3 linked regions of the Schizosaccharomyces pombe genome follow. The gene in region 1 interacts genetically with each later gene. Each region holds a gene or a part of one and is shown in the gene's direction. Other genes may lie near its edges. The genes, in order: lin1, rtf2 and spf38.

Region 1 (4,149 bases):
TAAACTAGGACGAGGACTAATTCTATTAAATATACAATTAGCAAAAAAAAAGTGGTTGGGTTTGGTTTGGTTAGCTTCGTGCTACGTAATGTCAACATATAGTGAACTACATTACACTGTCAAATTCGTTGTTGATATATGGATAAATAAAAACGAAGAAGGTTGGTGTGAAAAGTAAATAAAAAAAATTGATAAAATATTTTACACTAAATTTCTATTATTTTCCTTGCATCTATATTTACCTTTTGTTGCATTTAAAGGCATCAAGTTTACAAACTAGCGACTTTAAAGAAAATTTGGTGAAGGTAATTTTTCAGAAGCTAATATTACTAAACGGGAATGACTGAATCAATAAGCGAAATAAATTAAACAACTGTTCATCTTTTTCGAAATTCCCATTTAGTACCAATTCTTTTAGCAAACGAATTCTATTAATTGACTACGAGTTCTATCTACTGAAGATATAGTTTTCTACATTTGAGCATGATTTAATGCCCGAATAGAATTTTGACTAACAAATAATTATCGAGTCAAAGAAAAAACTGAAATCTAAATGTTGACCAATTGTGGTCCACTTTTTTCCCTTTTTTCTGCAAGACAAGTTCCTATTCCAAGTAAAATAAGTTTCACTAACTATTATAGGTAGCTTAATCAAGCAGTTTTTTTCTCAGCAGCCTCTGCAAGCCTAGCTTGCTCCAATGCCTTGGCTTCAATGTTAAGTTTTGGAAGGATAAATACAAGAACAACAGAAGCTAAGGAAAGCAACATCATTGGGCTTTTTAATAAACGTATCAGGGAAAACTTTCTTGGCTCCTTCAAATAATCGCGTTTTAGAACAGCACGGACTTTAATAGGATAACTAGTATTCTTAGCGGTCGAACTAGCTGGACGTTTTTCGGCAGGCGAAGTATAGTAAGGGTAGACGATCGACTCATTGATTATGATGTGAAATTCGGAGAATTCATAGTCTATACTTTCTAACCGTAAGAAATATATTTCATCAGGGACATTGGGAAATGTAAAACTACCATCTCTCTCCACTACTGTCTCAAACGTTTTATTGCTAGAGATCAATCTGGCTCTGGTATCATAAGACAATAAATTAATCTTGGGAAGGATAGTATTGGTTAATACTTTTCCATATACTTCAGCTTGTAACGATTGCTGAATGCAACCAGCAAAACATAAAACCGATAACAGCAAAAATGTGTGTAATTTCATTTTTTTTAATAGATAAAGAAGGTAGCTTTCAAAAAATTGTGAGACAGTAAAGAATGGATGTCCACGGTTGAGCAGGGACTATTGAATGTCAATTATTAATTTTCAAACAGGGTCAGATAATAAACGAATCTTGAGGTTTAATAAGAAAATAATAGATGAAAGAAAATGCGCAATTTAATAAACAAGAACAGTTTTCCGAACTTGATAAGTCACTACAGTGTTTGCTTTTAGATGAATGACCTTACTTCGTGCTCCAACAGTTATCAGTAAATAGGATAACGAAAAATAAGAAACTATGGGATTCCAAATACCACACTTATACGAAGCTTGTTATATAGTAAGGTAAATAGAAAAATAATTACATATTTGATAACAATGCAGATATCTTAAAGATAAAATGCAAATTAAATGGAAAAAGGTCACTCCATAATAGAATTTTTTGAATTGAATGAGAGCTTGATGTCTTATTTTACTGTTATACAGCGAATCTATACCAAGTTTCACATGCAATGTCACTCTCAGGATGATACCGTTCTTACGTACGGCGATATTATTATATGATTTTGAAATTGTAAAATTTCACGTTTGTTTTGTACATACAGGATTAATTTTCAGTAGTTTTTTATTTTGAAGAAAGAATCAATAATCAATATACTACTGGTATAACGCACAATCACTTATTCGTTGTCAGTAGATAATGCTTCATCTCTTTATTTTGCTAAACGTTCTTTAACAGAGATGTTTTCAGCTACGTAATTTTATAACTGCATGTAAAAAAAATACTATAGCATGAGGATGAGATTATTATTCGTCGTGCATTATTTTTTGGTAATATTTATTTTTGTATAATCATTTTATTTTTTCTATTGTTTCAGATTTAACACTTAATAATCTTGCACTCATAACGAGTTCGCAATTGCAACTACATTTTGTGTGAACAATGAAGCGTACGCTCAGAAACCCTGGCAATTCGAGTACAGTGGGTGATGTTCACGATGTTTTTTTTGAATACGATGTAAGCAATGTAGGGAGAAAACGTCCTAGGACAAAAGAAGAGGGTATGCAAATTCATTTGTTGATTTCTGTCTAACATTCAATTCACAGGATATTATGAATCTGAATCTGAAGAAGATGAAGACCAAATTCTGAATAAAGAGAAGAAGGAAGGGCAATCGGAAGATATGTTTTCTGATACTTCGGAAGATGAGAAGCGTACTCTGCCAAATGATGAAGCGCAAAAGCGACGTGATTTCATTGAAAATGGCGATGCTGAAAGATTAGCACATAAAGGTTTGCGAAATAAAGAGGTTTTGAACGACGATTCTGATGATGAGGACGATAACGGAAAGTATTCAAAGTTAAGATATGAAGATATAGAAGGCCAAGAAGATACAAATCAGGCTAACGACCTCGACGCGGATGAAGAAGGCAGTGAGATATCAGTTCCCTCAAGCCCAAAACGAATGTCCTTTAACTTAAAAGAAGATATGGAGGAGGGTGATTTTGACGAAAATGGTAATTTCATACGAAAAAATTATGACCCAGAGTCTCAGTATGATGCATGGCTCAATGGCAGTGTTTCTAATAAAAAAAGCATTGCAGCAGCCAGAGAAGCGGAGCAGAAGCGTAAGGAAATGGAAAACAGAAGAAGGAATCAAGAATTGGAAGAATTTAGTAAACTGCCTTTTTCCACGGTTCCTGAAGCGTTATCGTTTTTTATCGCAAGAATGGAGAGAGATGAAAGTATTTTAGAATTTTTGCAGAGACAAAGTGGTAACAAAAAATCGTATAAGAAAAAGAAAAATAATACCGCAGAGGGCATTTCTCCTGAAAGGAAAAGTGCTGACGCTTTTCGGAAAAAATTAATAGAACTTATAACTGCTGGTCTAACTTTTCTAGAGGATAAAATTGGAAAGGAAGATATATACTCGGAAACTAGAGAATCTCTTCAAAGAATTTATCAAAAACTCACGTCAAATTCATGGTCTTCTCCTGTTAGTTACGACGACTCAAATTCTTCACAGTACAACTTTAAGTGGGAATTTGACGATAAGACGTACGGCCCTTATACCGCAAGCCAAATACAGGCTTGGAGTAATGAAGGTTATTTTACGGATGCCAAGCATGCAGCATTTATACAATTAGCAAATATGGATGAATGGATGTATCCTAACAATATCTGCTTTTGCGATGTAGTTTCTTTAAAGAAATAGTCAAAGTGGATAATAAACTATTTTATTTCATTATATAACAGAACTTATAGCTTGTACCTTTGAATTAACGGAAAACTATAATTCGATAAATAAGTCTAAATTAAACTTGTCTTGCAACCTTTATAAAGACTTGCTATTTAATACTTTCATATTCTTAACTATAACAAAATATTCGTCTTTAGTGCTTTTAATCTTCCTGCATTGCAACTGCATTATCTTGTGCACCTGAAGCCGACCACTCATTTTCGGTTATGTAATTCTTTCCGTATTCCTCTAAATATTCAACACTTCTTTTTTGATCCAAAAATAATTCGTAAACACGTCGGATATCGGACTCCTCAATCGTAGCACTTTTGCGCTTCAAAGCAACCTGATTAGATGAAGATATAAGAAGTAATGCGTAGCGAAGACTAGTCTCCTGACCAATAGTGGAAAGGTAATCTAAAGCTGAAGGCTCCATATCAACATCTTCTTCTTGACAGCGAATCTTCAAGATTTCTTTTACCTCTTCATGGGAATAGGGCAATGTAGAAATAATCAGCATACGATCTAACAAATCAACTGGAATGCCATGAGGGGAACGATAATTTGTACCTCGAATACGAGTAATTCCTCGATTAGAAGCCATAATAACGATAGGAGCTAGGTCATCTTCCAATGCGCGATTGAAAAAAGAAAAGCACTCAATATCTAGCATATGAACTTCATCAACGAA
Region 2 (3,565 bases), on another chromosome or scaffold:
CTTCAACTCTTCAATCGAAACCCCAACTTCCGAATCGTCAATACCAGTTTTTTTTCCAAACGCAAAACGCAGTTTGGGTTTGGCAAAAGCAATTCGATTGTTTTTTTGTACATTTTTAACTTCATAGCAGTTAAAGCCTAAAGGAAAAACTTTTGAATCTAACAAATTAAGTGTTGCAATAGCGACTGCACTCCTAGGATAATTTATTACTTCGTTTACTTCAGTCGAAGCAATTAGATGGCTCACCTCACTTGGGAATGAAGAAATCCAGCTCTGATAACGTGGATTTTTGTATACTTCTGGTGTAACCGAATGAATGACACAAACAGGTTTAGGTGCATTTGTCCATTTATGATTTTCAATGACCAAGTCAATTACGAGTTCGTTGGGGCAATGAATAATAAAAAAGGAGGAGCCAGGAATAGAAGGACCAATCACTTCTTTTGGATATACTGTTTTTCCGTTTTCAAGAGTTACAGGTTCTCCTCGAGCGAGTCTACCACAGTCTAATCCTTTCGTGATACCAAGCGATTTTGCTTTTGCGGCGTCAAATTTCCCTGGGGTAGGATGGGATTGAACAATATAAGAAATAAACAGCTCTGGCTTGTCTGGTTCCAAAGGAGCCGGAGTGTTATACATTGCATTCTCAACGACGAATGATGTATCATTGGAAACGTGAGAATACCAATGAGGAGAAGTATTTGCTCTATCCTCTTTTAATGGTCTTGCATTTGTACCTCTGTTAATGTTTTCATGCTTCCTTTTTTTAAAAGAATTTTTAACTAGTGAAACAACTACCGGAGTTACACAAATATTTTCATCAACGAATACTGGGGCCTCAGCCGAAGTATATCCCTGTACCGTTAAATTTACATTCGTATGATAAGTGAAATGCCGCATCGAAGATAAAAACTGATGAACTTCACTAGGTCCATGAAGGACAAAAGGACTAGCTTCTCCGGTTTCCCCAGGTTCCGAAATATCATTGAGAGACAGCAAAAAGCCTATTGTCAGAAATTATTAAATATATTTAACACTTACCTGGAAACCCACCACAAGAATCCCACCATGTAGGATAGTTTACAGTCGAGCACATACTATTACGTTCAGATACAATAACTTTGTCCCGATCATCCAGCTGTAGCATATCAGAAACAGAGGTAGTAGACGATGAAGAAGAAGAATCATATGTATCTGGTGATGATATTGAAGATCCTTGCATTAAGAAGACATCTTTAATCTTTGATAATCGAAGCTGTTGGGAGAGTATAGCTCTTTGACAACCTTCCCCTACGCTTCCAAATACATACCTCTTAGAATCAAAAAATAAGTGGATGCAGGGAATACAAGATGTATCCCGAGAACTGACGCTCACAAATTGTAAATAGAAATTTTTTGTTGCCCTAAAATTAACAGTTTTCGACATTTAACACGACCTGAAAAAGAAAAAGGAAAAGGTTCAATATGAATAAAAAAAAAAGGGTCCGAAATCTAAGTTAACAAAAACAAAAGTAAGTAAAGGGGCCTAAAATACTAATAGCTACTCAGTACCAATTTTCGAACTCAACTGGATACTAAGAGTAAGAGGTTTCGGATTTCACAAAATGTTTCATATAACATTGATTTAGATGTATGAAAGAAGCAGTTAACTCGTAGTTGAAACCTACAAACCAGCTGTTGTAGAAGAAAAATTGCTGCTTTTGGTGTATACTTTCGTAAGTCCTTAACGCAACTACGTATTCCCATCACAAATGTTTGCAATTTAAATAAGGTTTAAAAATAAGCGAAGATCATTGAAGCGAAAATTGTATTTGACATTTCGGTATATCTTGCGTAACGAAACCTAACGTTTAATTTTAGTGCATTATAGTAGAATGCAGTAAATGCAGTCGTGGAATGTAAGCGCTTCTTTGAAATATGCTTACTTAACACTACTCTGTAATATTTAATACACACAAGTAAACTATGGGAAATGACGGTAGGATTCGTTTATTTTGCTTCTAAATTTTAACATGTTTTAGGAGGATCATTACCAACCCGAAACGAATTAGTGAAAGAGCCTGGCAAAGTACCGCCGCTTGATATAGACTTTAAACGTTCTGTAAAATCTTCTCAATTTTCTCAGTGTGCCATTACGGATGAGCCCTTATACCCTCCAATTGTATCGTGTGGTTTAGGAAAACTGTATAACAAAGCAAGCATTTTACAAATGCTGTTAGATAGGTCAAGTGTTCCGAAAAGCCCTTCTCATATAAAATCACTGAAAGACGTGGTACAACTTCAAGTTGAGCTGGATGATTCCGGTAAAGTGCTATGGTTATGCCCGATTACAAGACATGTAATGTCTGATACATACCAATTCGCCTACATAGTGCCTTGCGGTCATGTATTTGAATACTCTGCCTTGAAGCAGTTTGGCGAGAAAATGTGTTTTCAAGTAAGTCTATCGATAGCTAAGAAAAGCATTTCCAACCCTTGAGTTATTGCTAACACAACATCAGTGTAATCAGGTCTACGAGGAAAAAGACGTTATTCCCATCAACCCGAATGCTGAGCAATTAAAAACATTAAGTAAACGCCTTCTTGATCTCGCATTATCTGAAAAGACTCACAGTTTAAATAAGGTACTTCACAGAATTTTCAAAATTCGGCAATGACTAACATACTTAGGCTTCAAAGAAATCAAATAAAAACGGCGATAAAAAACGAAAACATGTTTCAAAATCAAATAGCAAGCACGCTAAGCATGAATTGCGGACAAATAGAATGTTGGATGGAGAAAACGTAAAATCTGAGACCAGTGTAACTGACATGGAACGTGTAAAAAGGGTGAAGATTTGAGGGACGCTTTATTTATGGGTAAATTAATACACACATACATTTATCTTTTAAAAAAAAATCTACTATGTACATTTAAATAGGATTTTTTTATCATAAACAATGTTTTTAAATTAATGCAACGAACGATTAAATTTATTGAAGTAAAGTGAAAGTTATATCGCTTAAATAAGTAAAGCATTCTATTTCTAAATAAGCTTTTCGACGAATGGCTTCACGTTGTGGATGCATTTTTTTATTAATCAGTGCAATCACTCCAACCAAGCTTTTAAAGGTGACAGAAAATAATCCCAAAGGCTAAGCTTAACACAAAAGTGCTTAGCCCAATAGAATTAAGGCTTTTAGAAAGAGAAAATGTCAAAAAAAAGGTATTGAATTATAAGAGGTAAAATCAAAGAGAATGCACAAAGTAAGCTTGCAGATCTAAGGTCGAGGATGTTCAGATTGAAACCATCCTGATTAAAAATAGAAAATTTGGTAAACAGAAAATATGAAAATAGGATAACCCTGTGTTTATTGAAGCTTCTTTGCAGCCCTTCTTTGCTCAACATCCATTTTAACCAAGGCATTGGCAGCATTCACCAGCTGAACAACGTTAATAATTTGTTTGGCAAGGCAAATAGGACCACATAAAACGGCTAGAAGGGTCGGATAGGAAAGAGGGAGCTCTCCAGTCGAATAAATGAAGGAAGGAACTGGTAAGTAGCCAAGTTTGGGAGGAGTACGT
Region 3 (3,900 bases), 2.9 Mb from region 1:
GACATTCTTTTGTGACGCTTAGCTAAGGAATTGGTTTCTTCTTGACTTCTGACGAGCGTTTGTACTTGTGCTTCACGGCCAAAAGCTCGGGCTGCCTCACAATAATCCTTCTTGATTAAATAATCATATATGTACGAATTCAGTAAGGATTGTGTGGTCCTATCGGCATTATTTACGTGCGGTTGTTTTTGATCTTTTTGTAAATCATGTTTCTGTCCTTGCTGGCTTGGCAATCCGACGCCGGACCTTAAACCTGGATCAGCCATAAACTAGAAATGTGCAGAAGTTAGGTGTTGCGAACGAGAATATGGATCTACAACGATGCACGCTGGCGATATATAATTTTAAAGATCTGCGCACGCTATACTACCGCAACATTTTGTATATCATATTTTCATTTTAGTTTTCTATCAATTACTGAAAATCATAAAATCATAAATGTTATGTTTGAATTTAGTTACAGAGTAAATCAAAACCCTTGAAGAGTAAAACTCTATAGAGGTTTCTTATTTTCCAAGGCAAGTCATGCTCTAAAAACATTTTTAATAATAGTTATTATGTATATATTCGGATTTGAATTATCTAAAATGGGCTATATTAAAATATGGTTCTAAGATGATATACTTTCAATGAATCAACCAGTGGTAATTTCAGATTTTATATATGCAAACTTACTAACTGAAAACTGTGGAATTAAGGGATAGGTGGGTTTAGAAAGTAAATGTAAATTGATATTTCTTCATCCGTAAAAACATCATAATGAATTAAGAATACTATTAGCCGCAGTTTTTTGTAAGAATGCTGTAATTATGTAGATAGTATCAATTATTCTTGTTTTATTTACCTTGCCTTGGAAAATATACATATCTACAGCTTTTTACATAAGTTAGCGATGTAAATACTAAGCACTGGAACTCATATTATCATTTTCTAAAGTTGTTAGAAATGCTTTTAGTAGTAAAGATTTTGGAATGTGTTCACTATTCGAAAACTAGTTGCAAATTGTGTTTTTCAGTAAATCAAGCAAGATGCTTAATTTTGGCACTACAAGTTTTTAGAAAGTACTTACATGAAGATTGGAAGCTTTGCGTAAATTTGTTTAGTTTCACATATTCCACATTTTAGTTTTCTATAATTCATTTTTTATCAAGTAGAAAATTTAGTTTCTCTCTTTCATTGCAAATGCTATAATCCGGCTTTAGAACTACTATCTACTGGATAATCCTTTATTATTGCCATGCTAGATTCCCTGTAGAATTATGGATTTTGATATTAATCAAAAATTAATTTCTTAAAGTACAAATATATTCGACGGGAGAAAGTTTATGAAATTTTGTATGCGGTTATACCTAATCAGTGATTATCTCGTTGTTTATATTTCAATTTTTGAGGCGACTAGAATAGACAATTCAGCCCAGAAAACCGTACATACAATTTTTAAGTAGAAAAATTTGTTAATAACTATACCCAAAAAAAATGTGATTACGCATCTTTAGCTAATGGCAAAATGCTTCTCAAGTGTTTTTGATGGTGGTAAAATCGAGATAGACTAGATATTAAAGCCGCTCGTTAAATATTATAAGACATTAATTGATACTAGTGTTTTTCCTCAAGCACAAACAAGGTCTGTATATAGTATACGGAATAGATATTTCTTACAATTTATTTATACTGTTTAAACGAATTTTAAATGGCTTCCATGAGAAGGGTAAATTTTTAGGGATTTTGCCTGTAATCAAAATGTTGTTCATATAAATTCTACTTTAAGTCCTGTTTATAGGAATGAGCTCATCATTCCTCGTTATTTGAACACCAAAGAAAAGTCCGATTTATTGGTATTTTGGTTGTGACAGAAACCCCTGCGACGATTGTCGATCCGTTTTATATATTTTCCACTCCCGTCCCTGCTATTCATTTTACGTTCTAATTCTGAAAACTGTCAATCAGAAATTGCAGTTATTATATATAGTAAACTGGAAATGGATAAACGAAAGGAATCGGAGAGTGCGACTAATGGACATTTAGTATGTTCGATTGCTAAAAAAACATGCACTAATATAAATAGGTTAAAAGAATTAGAATCCAAGATTCTAGCTTAATAACGGAGGGTTCTGTATTGCAACGAACATCTGATCTCAATGTTCCAAACCTACAGATGTTTGGGCATACGGTATGGTTGTATTGAAATAAATCATACTAACGCTTTAGGCTGAAGTTTTAGTCGCCAGGTTCGATCCTTCTGGATCATACTTTGCTTCTGGCGGTATGGATAGACAGATACGTAAGTGCAGCTGTAATTAAAATGTTGATTTATAATAACTGTGGTTTAGTTCTTTGGAATGTGTTTGGTGACGTTAAAAACTACGGAGTATTAAATGGCTGCAAGGGAGCCATAACTGATTTACAGTGGAGCAGGGATTCACGCGTAGTTTACTGTTCTTCCTCCGATACACACCTCATGTCTTGGGACGCTGTCTCTGGTCAAAAAATCCGGAAGCATAAAGGCCACGCTGGCGTGGTGAATGCTTTAGACGTTTTAAAAGTTGGTTCCGAACTTCTGACTTCTGTAAGTGATGATTGTACTATGAAGGTATGGATATTGTTATTAAAATATGGAATAGTTACTAAATTTAAGGTATGGGACTCGCGGTCAAAAGACTGCATAAAAACAATAGAAGAAAAATATCCCTTAACGGCTGTCGCAATAGCGCAGCAAGGAACCCAAGTTTTTATCGGTGGTATTGACGGAGCTATTAAAATCTGGGATTTACGAAACAATCACTGCTCGCATGTTCTGAAAGGGCATAAAGATATCATTACTAGTTTGGCTATATCTAAAGATGGATCTAGCTTACTTTCTAATTCTATGGACAACACGGGTATGCTAATTTTTTTTGGGTGTTTGATCAACCTTTGTACTAATGCTATTTTAATTTATAGTTCGAATATTTGATGTAAAACCTTTTGCTTCTGCTCAACGACAGTTGCAAATTTTTGAAGGAGCTATTCACGGACAGGAGCATAATTTGTTAGGTGTTGCCTGGAGTCGTAATTCACGATTCGTTGGTGCTGGTAGCTCTGATAAAAACGTATATGTTTGGTCAGCCACAGGCGATTTACGTTATGTATTACCCGGACATGAGGGTTCAGTAAATCACGTTGACTTTCATCCACATCAGGACATCATTCTTTCATGTTCCTCAGATCGAACAATATTTCTTGGGGAATTGAATTAATTTTTATTTCATGAATAATTTTTCAATAAACATTAAATACTATTAAAATTTTCTGTAGAACTTATTATTTGACGATCTTAGTTGTCAAGCCTGTTATAATTCCTATAACTACAAGTTTCTTAGATTTCGATTAATTATCAAATTATATGCGTTATGAGTACATCTTTATGGTAATGATACATCATCTAATCTTATTTCTAATTAAACAGGTTAAATAACTTAGAAGAATGGATGAATGAGGACTATATTCGAGCAATTTTTGAAAATGTTAGAAAAGTAAACTATTATGAAGATGGCGAGTCGGGAGCTATTTTAAAAACTTGCTGCATTGAATTTGAGAGTCAAGATGCTGCTAGGAATGCTTTAGAAAGGCAATCTACTCAACGATTAATATCTGGGAACCCGATCTCTTTAGATGTGGTTCCTGAATGGCAAAAACCTAGTTACTATATGCTTTTCATTAGTAACATTGATCCAGAAGTGTCTGAAAATGATATAAAATACTTGTTTCAACGTTATAACTTTATTTCTGCTCGTGTTCTACGTTGTGTTGACGGGACTTCAACTAGCATTGCTTTCATATGGTTAGCTAATGAAAGTGATATACAAAACGCGCAGGTAGAGATGCAGGGTGCCTTTTGTTTAAAAAGATCTATATTAGTTC

Evidence for each region.
Region 2: mutations in lin1 (region 1) and rtf2 together harm fitness more than expected from each alone (negative genetic interaction), as found in Schizosaccharomyces pombe (one large-scale study listed by BioGRID).
Region 3: mutations in lin1 (region 1) and spf38 together harm fitness more than expected from each alone (negative genetic interaction), as found in Schizosaccharomyces pombe (one large-scale study listed by BioGRID).

Annotation. Positions count from the first base shown.
Region 1 is NC_003423.3:1,524,978-1,529,126, reverse strand, and holds lin1 (U5 snRNP complex subunit LIN1), read left to right. Parts: upstream 1-2,010; 5' UTR 2,011-2,161; coding exon 2,162-2,279; exon of another isoform or gene 2,280-2,325; coding exon 2,326-3,434; 3' UTR 3,435-3,550; downstream 3,551-4,149. Other genes in the region: protein Emc7, read right to left, coding at 652-1,221; chaperone, AAA family ATPase Rvb2, read right to left, coding at 3,622-4,149.
Region 2 is NC_003424.3:651,635-655,199, reverse strand, and holds rtf2 (DNA replication termination factor Rtf2), read left to right. Parts: upstream 1-1,927; 5' UTR 1,928-1,965; coding exon 1,966-1,978; intron 1,979-2,021; coding exon 2,022-2,437; exon of another isoform or gene 2,438-2,501; coding exon 2,502-2,624; exon of another isoform or gene 2,625-2,670; coding exon 2,671-2,841; 3' UTR 2,842-2,975; downstream 2,976-3,565. Other genes in the region: 3' tRNA-processing endonuclease tRNAse Z L2 Trz1, read right to left, coding at 1-1,004, 1,042-1,426; phosphatidylinositol synthase (CDP-diacylglycerol--inositol 3-phosphatidyltransferase) Pis1, read right to left, coding at 3,352-3,565. UniProt on the Schizosaccharomyces pombe protein: Putative splicing factor that is required for the correct splicing of a subset of pre-mRNAs. Required for the correct splicing of rtf1, a replication termination factor that mediates site-specific replication termination at replication barrier RTS1.
Region 3 is NC_003423.3:4,402,582-4,406,481, forward strand, and holds spf38 (U5 snRNP complex subunit Spf38), read left to right. Parts: upstream 1-1,848; 5' UTR 1,849-1,979; coding exon 1,980-2,024; exon of another isoform or gene 2,025-2,065; coding exon 2,066-2,170; exon of another isoform or gene 2,171-2,208; coding exon 2,209-2,281; exon of another isoform or gene 2,282-2,330; coding exon 2,331-2,590; intron 2,591-2,635; coding exon 2,636-2,879; intron 2,880-2,940; coding exon 2,941-3,236; 3' UTR 3,237-3,305; downstream 3,306-3,900. Other genes in the region: adn2 (transcription factor), read right to left, coding at 1-266; U1 snRNP-associated protein Usp109, read left to right, coding at 3,390-3,406, 3,446-3,900. UniProt on the Schizosaccharomyces pombe protein: Involved in mRNA splicing where it associates with cdc5 and the other cwf proteins as part of the spliceosome.